Linked DNA regions of Lytechinus pictus. The protein of the gene in region 1 purifies or fractionates together with the protein of each later gene. This does not show direct contact. Links are inferred from orthologs where the notes say so. Each region holds a gene or a part of one and is shown in the gene's direction. Other genes may lie near its edges.

Evidence for each region. Proteins that work in one complex are often made in the same cells at the same time.
Region 2: the proteins of intraflagellar transport protein 80 homolog (region 1) and intraflagellar transport protein 57 homolog purify together in Homo sapiens (affinity purification with mass spectrometry; 3 studies listed by BioGRID and IntAct, counting the BioPlex papers as one, with this or other methods). This does not show direct contact. The link is inferred for Lytechinus pictus from reciprocal best matches to the Homo sapiens genes IFT80 and IFT57.

Annotation. Positions count from the first base shown.
Region 1 is NC_087260.1:26,520,963-26,529,115, reverse strand, and holds the start of intraflagellar transport protein 80 homolog, read left to right. Parts: upstream 1-4,989; 5' UTR 4,990-5,077; intron 5,078-8,153. Other genes in the region: uncharacterized protein CXorf58-like, read right to left, coding at 1-43, 1,038-1,168.
Region 2 is NC_087252.1:13,083,613-13,090,935, reverse strand, and holds the start of intraflagellar transport protein 57 homolog, read left to right. Parts: upstream 1-3,980; 5' UTR 3,981-4,082; intron 4,083-6,577; 5' UTR 6,578-6,893; coding exon 6,894-6,992; intron 6,993-7,323. UniProt on the Homo sapiens protein: Required for the formation of cilia. Plays an indirect role in sonic hedgehog signaling, cilia being required for all activity of the hedgehog pathway.

The DNA of each region.
Region 1 (8,153 bases):
CCAACATCTTTCTATTGATCTTGCTGCTAATAGTTGTGTCAACCTTTCATATAACATACAAAAAAGAAAACAAACAAAAAGAGTAGCTGTATTTATAGTCTACTTTACTCAAGTACATTTCCATGGCTTTCATGTGGAGATGGTGAGGATCAGTGGATAGGTCCATATAATTTAAACCACAAGGTCAAGGATTCAAATCATATCATGTCCTTTGGTAATACATTTGTCTACATTTGCCACTCTCTTGAGGGGGATCAGGAAGAGTTCCATATGCACCCCCACTAAAATTGGAAGTAAAAATATGGAGGAAGGTTTAAAATTACTTATCTAGCCCTAATCTACATCATGTAGAACACATATGATGGGAGAGTGGAAATACATGCCAAAATATGGCTCTATTCAAAGTTTCGCGCAGGATTGAGTGCTTGTAATTTTCCACAGACATCGGTTTATCTAGTCAGTAAATGGTCTGAAAGCCTAGACTAGTCAAACTATCAGCTCATAATCGCTAAAATTCCTATTCTGGTATCAGTGCTTCTCGCCAGCATAGCGGGATGAGATCTTGACTGCAGTTACGAGGTGAGTTCGAGTCTCAACTACATTAAGTAACACTAAGAAATCAATAGAGAAATCTGAAGTGAGCGAACTGGAAGTCTTGACAATCTTTTGTTATTTTTGGTGGAGGGTGCATATGGAAATCTTTCCTAAGTACATGTATCTTCATTTGAAGCATGAAAGTTTGCAAAACAAATTGCCCATTAAAAGTTTGTTTATTTGGGTTCAACTTTTAATAATCATAAATAAGGCTTTGTATGGGTAATTTAGGGATGCCAACACTGTACAAAGATTTGCAGTATTTTGAGGGATAAAATAAGGATTTGGGGTAAAAAAGAATATAGCTTTCTCCAAGAGTATGAAATGAATTTGAGAAAAAACATTTTCCATAAAACCTGCAGTATTGTTACCTTATAAAAAATAAAATACTGCAAGAAGGTACAATATGCATCGAGGGAGCTATTAATGTGTACAGAACATACTCTTCATTTTTTTCTGGGACTGCAGCTTGTTTATTTGCCCGTTTCTCAGCTGATCCTGTGACACTGCCGCTGTGTTGACTCGGTAAGGTCACATTAATTGTTGATCGGCTTGAACTCCTGACAGGATCCATTCTGACAAAAGAACAAATAGTATAATACTTCATTTTATTGCATTATTTTCATTTACCTAGTATCCATAAAAATACATGGACAGGACACAGTCTAGAATATACTTGAACTTAATTACAAGGTAACAATTAAACAAATTGTAGATCTACATAATACTAGACAATGGACTATGGAGAACAATTGTGAACATGCATCAATTTATGACACATGCTCAAAAATGCACCCCGGCCTCCTACCCACTGGTCAATGACAATGCTGCAGCAGTACATCACCCAAATGCGAATACACAGTGCCATAATGGGCAAAAGCTAATTTCAACTGACAAAAGAAAAAAAGATATATATGATCATGTAGCAACATAATAAAAAACTTAATAAGAATAACCATATTTTCTGGGGATTTATTTTTTCACAAATTGTCTAGGGGGTGGGCTGACCATACATGCCGTTCCCGTCCCAGAGCTAAGACTAAGTTCTTCTTCTTTCTTCAGGTATACTCTCAGGTATATCGCCCAACACCCCCAAAGTAGGAGCCAAAGGGGCAGGGATGTGGATACAGCTGAGACCTGCAGGTGCAATACACCAGGTGAACACCCTGCTCTTTCACGAATAGTGTATCAGTTTTAACGTGCATTGGTTGTTGCTCTCCTAATACAAGGGACCACCATTTGCGTCCTTTAATTCCGATGGACAGAGTGTTTTACAACTGCATTCACACCTGCACTGAGCTGAATACAGTGGCGAGGCACACTTACACACAATGCTATAACATCAGATTTTTATTATACATGTTTTGGCATGAGCAGGACTCAAACCCCGACGTTGAGATCTACAATGTTATCTAAAACAGACACTCTAACTTAGGACCGAGTTACGCTGCCTCTTGAAGGAGAGCACAGAGTCAGAGACTAAAGCTTTTGTCCATCTTTCCTACTCTCTACTTACATTCCAGGTTTAGTCAAGATTTAAGTTAAGATAAAGTGTCTCCTTTCTTAAATTAATTTCATGCCCTTTTTTTTTTGGGGGGGGGGGGCCTTTCAGCATTTTAAAATGGCTATATAACTTTTTTTTAATGCATGCTCCAGGCTAAAGATATTTATATTTCAATAAATAGAGTAAAATTCACAGAGCAAAATGCCAAAAATTTGATCAAAATCAGATATATATCAAATAAAAATAACCAAGCTATTGAATTTTAAAGATTTGCATTATTCCGGTGAAACAGTTCTAGCCTCTAGGCATGTCTTCATGAATATTAATTAGTTGGGCTGATGATGTCATATCCCCACTTGTTCTTTTGTATTTTATTATATAAAATTAGGTTTATTCAAAAACTTTTCAAGCAAGAACTAAAACAATTGGAAAACAATTGACAGCTGATTAAGTGCATTAATTACATGTAGTTATTTATTGCTGCAACTTATTTCATTATATAAATGGAGACAAATCATTTTCACACGTATGAAAAAGTATGAAACAATTATGATTTCATCTAATAACATAAAAAAAAGAAATGTGGGGATGTGACATCATCAGCCCAGCTAATGAATATTCATGACGACATGCATATAACTGTTTTCACAAAATATTGCTAAACTTTAAAATTCAATAAAACTATAATATTCTAAATTATTCTAAATTCTAATTATAAATTATATCATATAAATTATTATAGGCCTAAATTCTAAATTCTAGATCTAATTATAAATTATTATTCTAAATTATAAAATTAAAACAATTCTATAACTTGTTTGTTATCCAATTTTGATAAAGCATTTTGCTCTGTGAAGTTTACTCTACAGCTGAGCGCTACAGTTGAGTATGAACGTGCCAGTCATTCCGCTGGCACGTCCGTACGCTCAGCTGTCGCCGACGGCGATCAAGCGATTGCAAAATCGAACCCTTTTCTCCATAGAAGCTGTAGTTAAGGCGTCAGTATAGCTCCACCACTACAAGCCCGTGTATTGACGGAGCGAAGGGGGTGCCGCGCGGAGCCAGATGAAGTCTCAGCAGAGCATATCCCTAAATTCAAATAGCCCTAACGTTAGCGTTAATACAGGTAAAGTTAGATCTCTAACATTAGGCCTATTTATTGGTCTACTACTTGACAATTAAAGCATAACACCCGAAATTTAGAATCTTTTGAAGTAATGTTAATGTTATTTACAAAAAGATAAGCTCAGTTTTTGTTGAACTTCAAATAGTGTTTTTTTTTTCTCCCTCAGTTTCAATCTCGCTGTCGACTCAAGATTTAAAATGGAATATGTCATGTAGTTTGTCACATTTACAGACAGCTGGCACTGGCAGCCATCTGTTTTTAGGAATTTTTAAACATTTTTTAAATTTTTTATTTCTCCTTGTACACAGAGAGAAGCCAACGGAGTTCAGCGGTGTGTGTGTATTTGAGTTTTGTCAGACGTGTATCAATCAGATACGATTATTTAAAAGTTTAAGTTTCACAAATAACATCACCATCCGAAACTCGAAAGACGTGACCAGGGCTCGAACCTCTGGCTCTGCATCAATTTGTAACTTCCCCACATAGCTTGGATTACAGGCGCATGCCACAACGCCCCAACACAAAGCTTTTATTAAAGTTAAAATTAAAGTTAAATCCCATAGGCCCTATGCCAGAACACAAATATATAAAAAAACATTCTTTCCTGATGCTATCAGAATATGGAACTCACTCCCAGCAAAGATAGTTCACAGCACCTCCCTCGCGTCTTTCAAGCAGGAGGTGCAGCAAAGGAGGCTTCGACCTTCGTTAAGGCCTCTTCTGTTTTTAGCCGCACATAGATCTATCTGTAGAGATTTTTACTCGCACTATTCATCTGGGCACTTGACAAGCACGAGCACGATAATGTGCCAACGGCAGTCTGTACTTTACAAGAAGAAGAAGAACTTTTGGTCTAGATCTAACGTTAGATCTAGTCACATTTCGATCTGTTGTAAGACCCAGTTGTTGTGTGTCCGGACGATCAATTTTAGAAAGTCATTTGGAAAATTTACAAGCGAAGTTTCATCCATTTTTAGTACAAAATGTTAGGAAATATTATTTATAAATATAAAGAACAACATAGAAGATGATTACAAGTTTTTTTTACAACTATTAAATTTATATTTTAGTGTAATCCAAAGACAAAAAAGAAGGCTTCAAAAATATAATTGTCCGGACACCCGACCCCCTACTGATACTGATACTATTACTAGTATTACTAGTGTCGATTGTAATGTCAGAAATGATATTGTCTATTGTTGATAAATGACAATTAATTGACTTGTCAAAATCAAATGATCGACTTCTTTATAAATATAAATAATGTCTGATTACCTTAATCACAGACTCGGTAACATTCCCAACTTGAGAATCTTAATAAAATTATGAGTCAAACAGACAGGAACTCGGGAAATGAAGGAAAACAACTGTATTTTTCCAGTAGATGCGGTATAAAGGTATAAAGGTATAAAGGTATAAAAACACACCGCCGCGGCCGCTGAACTGCCCTTGCCTTGATCTGTTTTCATCGGCCGGGTGTTTAGAATCGAATCGCGTGTCGCTGAAGCTCCCCGCTGCTCCACATTCAATTCCCGCTGAGTCCCTCCAATTCGGGGCGCACAACTCGACCGAATCTTGTTGATATGTCAAGCTTTGCAATGTATTAAGTTTTAGGATCATTTATATTGTTCACATTTTCATTATTGAGACAGGATAAATATAAAATAATTCTATTTAATAGAAATAAAATATTAAAATGCGTGAAATATTCGAATAATTTCCCAAAAACATTTTTTTTAATGAAATATAAAAAATATTTATTTATACTACACATGCGCAGTTAATACATTCCATTTTCTGCTTCACTTTCGCCGTTTCTTGGGACGCTGTTTAATCTTTCCCACATAGAAACGGTAAGTTTAAAAGGTCTTTCTATATATTATTCGATTTGTATTGTTTTAAAATAATATTATAAATGTAAAATGATTGAGTTTTCGTTTAAAATGATATAGTTTGCTAAATTTATATCGATTAGATTTGAAGTTTGCCAGATCCGTATCTATCCAATACAGCCTAGTACAGTCCCATTTGCTTATTTTGGTGTATGGCGTATGACTGATAACTTTGCAATTGAAAAGGCAAATAGATCTACCAAAGGCAATAAGGCAATAGATCTATTTGTAACTTGAACCCAAGCTAGATCTGAAAGAAAGAACAAATTGATTGCGAGAAGAAAAAAGGAGGAGGAAGAGTAACATTTTCTAACAAGCAGCATTGCCATAGCTTACTGCGGCAGCCCGAACACGTACTGTGTTCGGGCTGCGTTGTGATTCACCCCGGCTCACCAGATCAAATCAGATGAGCATCGGGAATCAATCAAAAATACATAAAATTGCACAAAACTGTTACAAAGGAATCAATACATACTTACAACTTAAGCCGCAATATGGGCGGCCCTCAAAACTTCGAAATAATTCCCCAAAACGAAGCAAAAACGTCGGAAAATTTTGCCGGTGTGCATTAAAACTCGTTCGTACAGGAAGCAATGGAGGATTGATATAGCCTTTTGACGAGGCAACGAGATAAATTGATTTTTATTACCAAACGGGCAAAAAACAAAAAACAAATGATAAAAGAGAAAAAATACTTTAAAAATAAAATAATAATTGAATATCAGTAAGTAAGTAATTTCAGTAAGTTCTTATTATCATCAGATCCTGCCAATACCACTCTAGGCGACACCCCAATACTTACCCGTGCTAATAAACTGGGACTCCACTCACGCGCATTTGGGCCGCCCTAGCTTAGAACTAAGCTTTGTTTTACTAAAAAATAAATCTTGTAATGATTCAATAAATGTTACTTAATAAATTAGTACTGTTAAATCGGTACTCACCGGTTCTTTTCTTGAATTTTCTGGCAATTTCTCACGCTTCTGGCTTCAATTCTGCGGCTGTTCCTGTCGCGGTAGACAGCTACATATGCAACTTTATTTATAAATAGAGCGCCCCTTATGATAGTTGTTAAGAACGCGGCCAAATTGTTAGGTTTTTTGCACTGTGTCCAAGGCGTTTTTATTTTGTTTGATTTTTTATTTTTAATAAATATTTTGTTAAATAGCGATTTTTACGTCAAATATTAAATTAATATCACAAAATATTTTTAATTGTAGAAATATATATAATATCATGCAATTATTCATTCTATATATATTTTATAATAAAATTTATAATTGTTGCGGTCTTTAAAAAAGGATAGTCGATTGATCAGGTGATGACCACACGTATCACGTGATCTGAAAATCAGCTTCATACCGCTTTGATCGCACTCGACGGTGACCGGACTGACTGCCAAAAAAAGATCGAAAAATTACTCAAATGTAAGTTTCCCTTTATTTTATTAAATTCAAATTAGGAATAGGAATATATGTAATGGGCAATCTTTTAATAAATGATAAACAAACGAGGACAAAACTCATATTTTGGGAGTAATATCATACTTGGGTGCAGGAAACAGTACGTTTAGAAGTTCTAACCTGTTTTTAACGCATTGTCGCCTATGAGGTCCATACATGTTAATGTTTGGACCTCATTGGTACTAGGAGTGGCCAATACCACTAAAGTCCATATAGATAATACAACAGAATGCCCCGACAAAAGGCTATCATTTGATGCGTCGGATAGAGATTGTTATGAATATTCATATTCATATTCATATTCATAATAGTTCCGTAAATTCTTGCTTCACACCCTTTGCCTGGCAACTATTTTAGCTTCGGCTTTTTCTTTGAAAGAAGTAACATATTTTCGTTTGAATTATTTGTTTTTCTTTCTCCTCCATTCTTTTCTTTTGTTCTGTTTTATTTTATTTTCCCCCTTTTTTATTTTTATTTTTATTTTTTCCTCTACCTTTTTTTTCTTTTTGGGGTCTGTTTTCTTTTTCTTTCTTCCCTTTTTTTAAATTCTTCTCTGTATTTGCTCTTTTTTCTTTTTTCCTTTTTTTCTTCGTCATTTTTTTTTTTTGTCTTTATTCTCTTTGTTCTTGTTTCTTCATTGTTTTCAAGAGATTATGCACATGGTATCGTACTACACGTTTTTTTATTATTATTATTATTATTGGAAACTGTATAGATATATGTAAATAAAAAAGTGAAGAAATAAATGAACACTCATATATTAAAGGAATATATTCGTTGATCAAAATTATTGAGTGATCAGCAAACCATCTCTTTAAGATTTTGGTGCCTATTTCTGGAACCCAGCCTCTGACAGGGCTTTGCTGGCTTAGCCTAGAGGACTCCGTGATGCAAAATGATTTTAAAAATATCACGGAATCCAATGCTGGCTCCCACATATTTTTTTTTCTCTCTCTCACTTGTTATATTTTCCATTTTGTTTATTTTGTATACTGTGCATGTATCCTTAGTTTTAATTTCAATTGTATGTTGTATGTTTTAATGAGAATTTAAAATAAATGAAATGAAAATATATGCAAATCTCATTATCATCCAACAACCATTTTCATACAATTGATGCCTATTAATTTGAATTATGTTTGAATGGAGATGTGATTATAATTCATATGTTTGTTTATGAATTAATATGTTATCTTTCTTGTTGGCATTTTTAAGCTTCAATAATTGGGTATATAAATCTCTGCGGGATAAGTATAAGCCTATAATTACTAAGAATTGAGTTGCTCATTATAGGACGCATAAAGTCGCCGCAAAACCTGCTTGTCTGATTGTTTTCCAGGTGTCCAAAAGGGTTTTTTCCTAAAGACATGCCATTCTTTATATTGTTTTTGCTTAAGAATTAATGAAAATCATGGTGACGCTAAATCAGCTTATATACTTCTAATACCATTGGTGGCGGAAGCCAAAAAAATCAGGGGGTCCACCTGAAATTGAAATTTTGGGAAAGACACCTGTAGGTAAACAAATTTGACAAGCAAAAAAAAAAAGTTTTTCAACCAAAAATTGAGGATATT
Region 2 (7,323 bases), on another chromosome or scaffold:
TTACTCGTCTTCATCCTCTTCCTTTTTTTTCCCATTCTTGTCCCTCTTTTTTTCTTTATTTCCCCCTTTTTTTAAATATTTTTTTGCTCCATAATAAGGGGGGGGGGTAGGGGCCCCTCGGCCCCCTGGATCCGCCTATGACTTAAAAAAGTGGGTAAATTTCCATAAAACCACATTAACCAATATTTATATATATTTATATGGTTTATATTGAGTGACTGTTCAACGTTGCTCCTATTATTTTATATATTTTGGCTATAAACACCCTAATGAAAAGAAAGAAAGACAGACAGACAGACAGAAAAAAGGAAACCACCCGCAAACACCAAAGCAGGGACGTCGTCACACAAGGGGGGGGGGGGGGAAGTCATGGCCCTGGGAAGCGGGTGTGCTGGTGGTGAAGCACTCTTGGGGGTGCTGGGTGTGCTATCTTCCATGAGCAGCACCCTTGGAAATCCGATAGGCATAACCTTATAATGGCAGAAATGTAATAAAAATGCATTTTGTAGGAAAGCCACCCCTTTTAATTTCTTTCTTTCTTTCTTTTTTTGCTTGTCACATTTCTCTGGACCGAAACCACCCACATTTCGTAATGAAAACCCTGTGTGTTTTCTTTTGCTTGTCAAATTCACTTCAGCACCCCCACTAAAAATCGTCCCCAGGGCCCTGTGGCAAGTGGCGGTGAACACTCCATATGATTGTCAAAAATGGTAGATGGGTTAATGGGGAAAATAGTTTCTCGGTAAACTTTAAAAAATAATAAAAAACAACAAGTGCACAACAGCATTTCCATTTCTTTGAATGCAGGATAAAAGAGAAAATGTCGATTCTATAGGGCCTTGTAGTGTTGCGGCTTGCGCCCTCTTGAGGCAGAAACAATATCATGCCCATATCACCGAAACGACCGAAACCATAATCCCTATAATAATAATAGACCTTGAACAGTTGAGAAGATAGTAACTCTTGATAGAGTCAGGGGCGGATCCAGCTTTCGCCAATATAGGGAGAGGGGGGGGGGCGAAATTTTTGTTCACCCATATTTTCCCCGATCGGCCGCTCAAAGTTGATTGTTTTGTTTTGGTATAATGACTTAAAAACTTGACATTTTAAGCTCCATATCAGTCTATTGAGCAAGATATGTATCTAATCGAACATATAATGCGAGCGCGAAGCGCGAGCGAAAATTTCATATAATGATATGAAAGATTTTTTTTCCATGTCTTTCCCTCACTTGTCTTCATGGTCTTCCTCTTCTTTTTTTCCTCCCCTCTTTTTCTTTCATTTTCTTTCTTCCCCTCTCTTTTCCCTTTTTCTTTTTTCTTTGCTCCGCCAATAGGGGGGGGGGGGCGGGCCCCTCGGGCCTCCTGGATCCGCCTATGTATCACAGTAACAAAATATATAAAACGCTGGTTACTATATGAACCTTACAGTAATTGTTTAAACAGTTTTAACAAGTGTTTAAATCTTAAGCAACAAAATTTAATTTTCAATATCTAATTTTCAATAAATTAAAATGTTTAAACGGTTAAACAGATACTGTAAGGTTCATGTAGCAAACAGCGTTGTATGAAATCTTAAACAGTGTTTTACTGTGAGTGTCAACTACCATGACAACAGTGAAAATTCTGCTTCGTGATTCTAATGAAATCTGACATTCCAGCAAGAATTGCTATCTTATCAAATTTTATGAAATGGTCTCAGACGAGTTAAGGACAACTCCACCCCAACTAAAAGTTGAGTTAAATAAAAATAGAAGAATCCAACAAGCATAACACTGAAAATTTCAGCAAAATCGGATGTAAATAAGGAAATTATGACATTTGAAATTTCGACTAATTTCACAAAACAAACCTACTTGCCGTTTTGGATGCAAATGAGGAGACTGATAACATCACTCTCTCATCGTATTTCTTTTGTATGTAATGAGGCCTATATGAATTATGAATATTTTAATTATTTCATTATATAGCATTTCATTATGACTCAGTTAAGTTGGTCCTTAATGGAAAATTGGTGAAAATTGAAATATCATATAATTCAAACAATAAAAAAACTAAAGAAATAGTGATTGATGGAGTACACGGGATGGACATCATCGACTCTCTCATTTTGCATGTCCCTGAGTTCTGCATGATTATGACTGTTTTGTGAAAAATAAGCAAAATTTTAAAATGTAATAATTCCCTTTTTTATATCCGATGTTGATGAAATTTTCAGCGTTATGCTTGTTTTTTTCTCTATTGAATCAACGTTTTTCTGGGGTTTTTAGGCGTAATAGACCATAGTTTCCTTATTGGGAAGCCAGTAATTCAGTAAAACAGAACGTATTAATTTATTAAACAGATAGTAGGCCTATCGTCAATGCTATGAGAGATCCTTACTGGTAGTCCTCATGCTTAAGTTTGTTGTATTGAAATTGTGTATAACATGGAAAAAGTATAGTTTTCACCATATATTTTTTTCTAATGAATATTATCCTCTATTAATTGTTTATTATCATTACTTTTATTAGATCCATTTCACTCTAAACCGAAAAAAAGCTATTTTTTGTAAATTTAGGTAATATCACATTTTAACTCTATACAAATAATGGTTTAAAAGTACTAATTTTGGGGAAAAACAAATTGCCTCCCCCCTTAAACATATACGAATAGACACAAAAAGCAGTTCAGAAAAAGACCACCAAATAAAGAAGTTGTGGCCAAAACGTCTGTGACTTTTTTTTTTTTGGGGGGGGGGGGGGGGCGTGGATTGGCGGCCATTTTGGATTTTGACCGGCACCTTTTTCTTTTGGACCCGAGACAAAAAAAATATTGCCATCATGTGTTGAGATACATAACAACGAATAAAAAAAATATTAAGATTACAAAAAAGGGTAGTTTTGACGCATACATGTATAGCCCCCCCCCACTTCTTATTTCATTAATGAATTTCATTCTAAAATGTATGACAAAACTGAATAATAACCCTCACATAAAAAAAATATGACGGGTGTAATACATGATCTCCATCCAGGGAAAATGCAGGGCCCTGGGAACGATTTTGGGGTGGGGGTGCTGGAGCAATTTTTGACGAGTAAAAAAAAAAGGGGTGGGGGAGCTATAGGTTAAAAAAAAAAAAATTGGCATTTTTAGTACATTTCTCAAAATTTGCAGACCTAACGAAATTCGAAAGGGGTGCTGCCTATGACACGCAGCATCCCCGCTTCCCAGGGCCAGTAATCTTCCTTGGCTGCGCCCGGGGGGGGGGGGGGGGGTCATTGATTGTGGCACAGCTAGAAACAGATAGAAACACATTGAAAACAGAGACGAAACAAAGAGGCATTAAAAGAATGATTAATAAAATAAATACAGCTAAAAATTTAAATTCATGAATTTTCAATCCATATTTTTGTTTGATTGTTTTTTTAAATGCCTTTTTGGTGGGTGACGCATAAACTTTCCCTATATCCGTTATTATCACGTCTCCAGTACACACTTTCATATTGCTCACAGCCAACAAGCTATACCTTGTTTTTCTTCTTTTGGTTCAATCTTTTCGGATGCCTTAATTGGTAGTCATGATGGTACATATAGAGATATATTATAGTATCATCATGGAGGTCGAAAGATGGTATCATAGAGATACTCCACAGTATATATTACTAGTATCTCAATGATTATATAGTTGGCGACAATAGTCAAATATGACTAATCGCCACTCAAACCAACATAAGAAGAAGATGTGATGGTATAGTCTCATAAAACAGATACTTTTAAGTGCATTATTTCAAATACTTTATATTCTGGCAAATTGTAATACCATGAAAGTGTAACATAATACTTAATAACAATAAATAATAACATAAAATATAACTTGATCATTTTCTACCCGAAAAGTGAGATATTTCCCAAGTAATAATTGGTGTGATTATTAGTGAAAACAAAAACGACTGCACTGTATATCATCGCATCTTCACCACCTAGGCTTGCGCTTCGGTCAAAGGTCAAATATTTCCCTGACGATATGGACGCGGTGAAGTTATTTTTGTGAAATGTTCGATATATCGGTACCATTAAACACTTTGAGACACTGTTGTTGAGGTAAGATATACCCTAAATGTATATATTTTTTCAAAGTCTACCAGCCTCTTTTTCACAGCGTATGTTTCTACTAAAGTGTAAGGGATTTGAATATGGAATTGAGCTGCAATGCAAAGCCAAAGCAGCTGCACTAGTTGCAGCGAGCGCAGCGCCAGTGGCAGTGCCGCTCCGGTAGGGGCAGCCGCCGGCCGGGCGGGTAACCAAATAAGCTGCCGCTCCGAGCTCCGCCGGTAAGCGGCGACGGAGGAGCTCTATGTCTTGCCTTCTTGGACCCGTTCCTGCACTGCAGACACCGACTTTAGACTTACCGTGTTTTCCGGAATATAAACCGCACCTTTTTTAGTCGGGGAATCATCTATGGGGGTTGCGGTTTATACACGAACACAGACTGACAGAGTCTCTCAGACTAGTCAGACTCAGAAACTTGTCTTGATATCATATTGATAAGATAGAATTAGAACTTGATTGAGTTGATGAAATACTCAAAATCAAATAGATCTAACGTTTTACTAGATCTAACTATTGTTCGACTAAATACAATGAATGTGCGACATGTTTGAAACATGGACTTGTTAAAAGAATGAAATAAAACTCACTTTTAGTTTTACACCATCCCATCTCTGTCTTTCTCTTGTCAATGTCATCATTTAATGATTTGTTGTGGACGTGACTAGCACTAGCTAGCACTGTCACTTGTCAGTAGAGGCGCATGGCCAATATGGGAGACTCTCTCCAATATGGAAGACAATCTCCCATATTGGAGACTTGCTTTGCAAAAGAACAAAAGAAACAACACCAACAAAAGCAGATTTTTTTTCCACCCAAAATTTTGCCTCACTGAGGTCAGAAGCCCATTTGTTTTGTGTGTGGATGACAACAAAAATCCTTATCAAAACAAAAGTAGATGGTGAATTTTCAAAGTAGACGTTGAAAAGGGGTAATTTTTCATGAGGAATCTGCTCATCACATTTTTATTTGCTGCCAAGCTAATCCTTTTGCAGCAAATGTAAGCAAAGGAAATTGGTCTCCCAAACTGGAGACTCTCTGAAATTGGATACCCAAATTTACAAAAGTCTCTAATATTGGAAATAATCTCTCTCATGGGAGACAGTCTCCCATATTGGCCGTGTTCGGTGAGCGCTCCTCTCTGGCGGCTCTGCAGCGCCTGCTGGCACGGCTGGCCGCAGCTAGCGGCGTACAGGGAGACTGAAGCTTCGCGCAGTTAGAATTAGGCCTAGAATCTAGGTCTATTTTTAAAAAAGACAAAAAAAAAAATTATTTTGAGTTTTTTTACAATGTTAGTTTTTCATTATCAATCACTCACTGTCCACTGACTCAAGTCAAGACAGTCAAGCTCAGTGAGACAGATGAAACCATGCTCATGCAGTGTTTCAATTGACTGAGTCAAGGTCAAAAAATGGATCACTTCGTCTTCGTACATGCATTCCATTGACATGTGCAGGGGTCTGCTTCATTAAAAGAGATTCATAAAATGTTTTTGCTGTCATGTGCTCAATGGCCAGTAAATGTCAAGGATTCCGTGGATGTTACAATTAAAATCACTGACTAGACAGCAAAGTTAACTTCAATTGTAACTTCCATGCAATACTAAATAGGGCCTTGGTTGGCTTCAAAATGAAAGACGTTTGGCCAGACAGTACTGTTAGTCTTTTCTTGTCTTTCTGTTAATGCCTGCAATCATTGTTTTGATTATTACTTTACTTTAAGTCCATGATGCTGTAGGCTTGAGTTGAGTGCCTGTTCATCGATCGTAGTATCTCCTCTGGTGGTAGTACAGTATCCATGGTATTAAAACAAAATATATAGATATACCGATACTTAACACGAGTATCTCCTCTGGTGGTAGTACAGTATCCATGGTATTAAAACAAAATATATAGATATACCAGTACTTAACACGAGAAAGGACTGTCAGAAGTGTGTACATGTATGCTAACAAACGTGGAATAGCATATGAATGTAAAGATTGACTTTACCTGAATTTTGCTGGCTAAGTATTATAAAGGCTCTGTCAAAATTCTGTGAAATGATTAGATGTGACAGAACTGTCAAGAGTCAACACTACAGTTTTCCTCCGTTCTAACTTGTGCTACTTAATCCGTATTCTCTAATTCGGACTAATTTTTCTGTTCAATAATTTTTTTTCTTCAAATTGTCACTCCTGACCCTTGCATTTTATTTGCGTGTGTCAGGTAAAATTTGTTTACGCACATGTAAGATAGATAATGAATATTGGTGGCACATATATTATGAAACTATGCAGTATGCCTAGCAATTGAGTCTGGGAACTCTTGTTGGAATGCTCCCCAAGGAGCGGAGAAGGTGCATACATTGTATGCGGGCATGCAAGGATGCGATGACCGGGGTAATAATATATCTGTAAAGCGCTTAGAAACATCGTTCCGATGTGTTAAAAGCTATATAAATGCAGAATATTATTATTTAACTATCAATTATATCTCTTTCTGTTGCAGCATCCTACTCTGGGAGAAGAGCAATGTCATAGGAATCCACTGTGTCGTCCATTATCATCAACAGACATTTTTTTCATATGAAGTGGCATCACAACAGCTTGTAAGCTGAAAGATACCCAGTTGTATGATCTTCATACAATTTTTTGAAATTTTTTTCTTTACAATTACCATCAAATTTTAACTGAAAGTTTGATTCTGAGAGGTTACACTGAACAGCCTCTATAAGCAATTTTTGGACACTGGGGATACTGGTGTAAGAAGTCAGTGTCCATACAAGAACCCAGGGATATAGTATCCCAAGAGACTCTTAATCAAGATGGGGGAAGAGAAAGGAAGAGATGACAGCAGTGAGATCGGGCCAGGCCAGATGTATCAGCATTACATCATCATGGAAGACCTACTTGATAAACTAAAGGTACGTGTAATACTTTGTCTATATTAAAGATAAACGAAAGTAGCTGCAGTCATGGTTGCAGCAAACATTGATTTCATATAAAGAAGCTCTGTGAAACCAAGTTTAATTAAACCATTTTCATCCCAGGTTTAGACTGATCTTGGATTCAAGTTCAAGTTCGTCTTTATTGGAAATTTGTTTTGTTCACAACTTCCAAGTCAATAAACATAAAAAAAGCCATATTAAACATGTAAAACCATTAATAGTATTACATTTATAAGAAATATATACAGTGAAAGTAAATACCCGTTTATATAAACACTAAAGCCACAAATTTATTATGAAAGTGTTG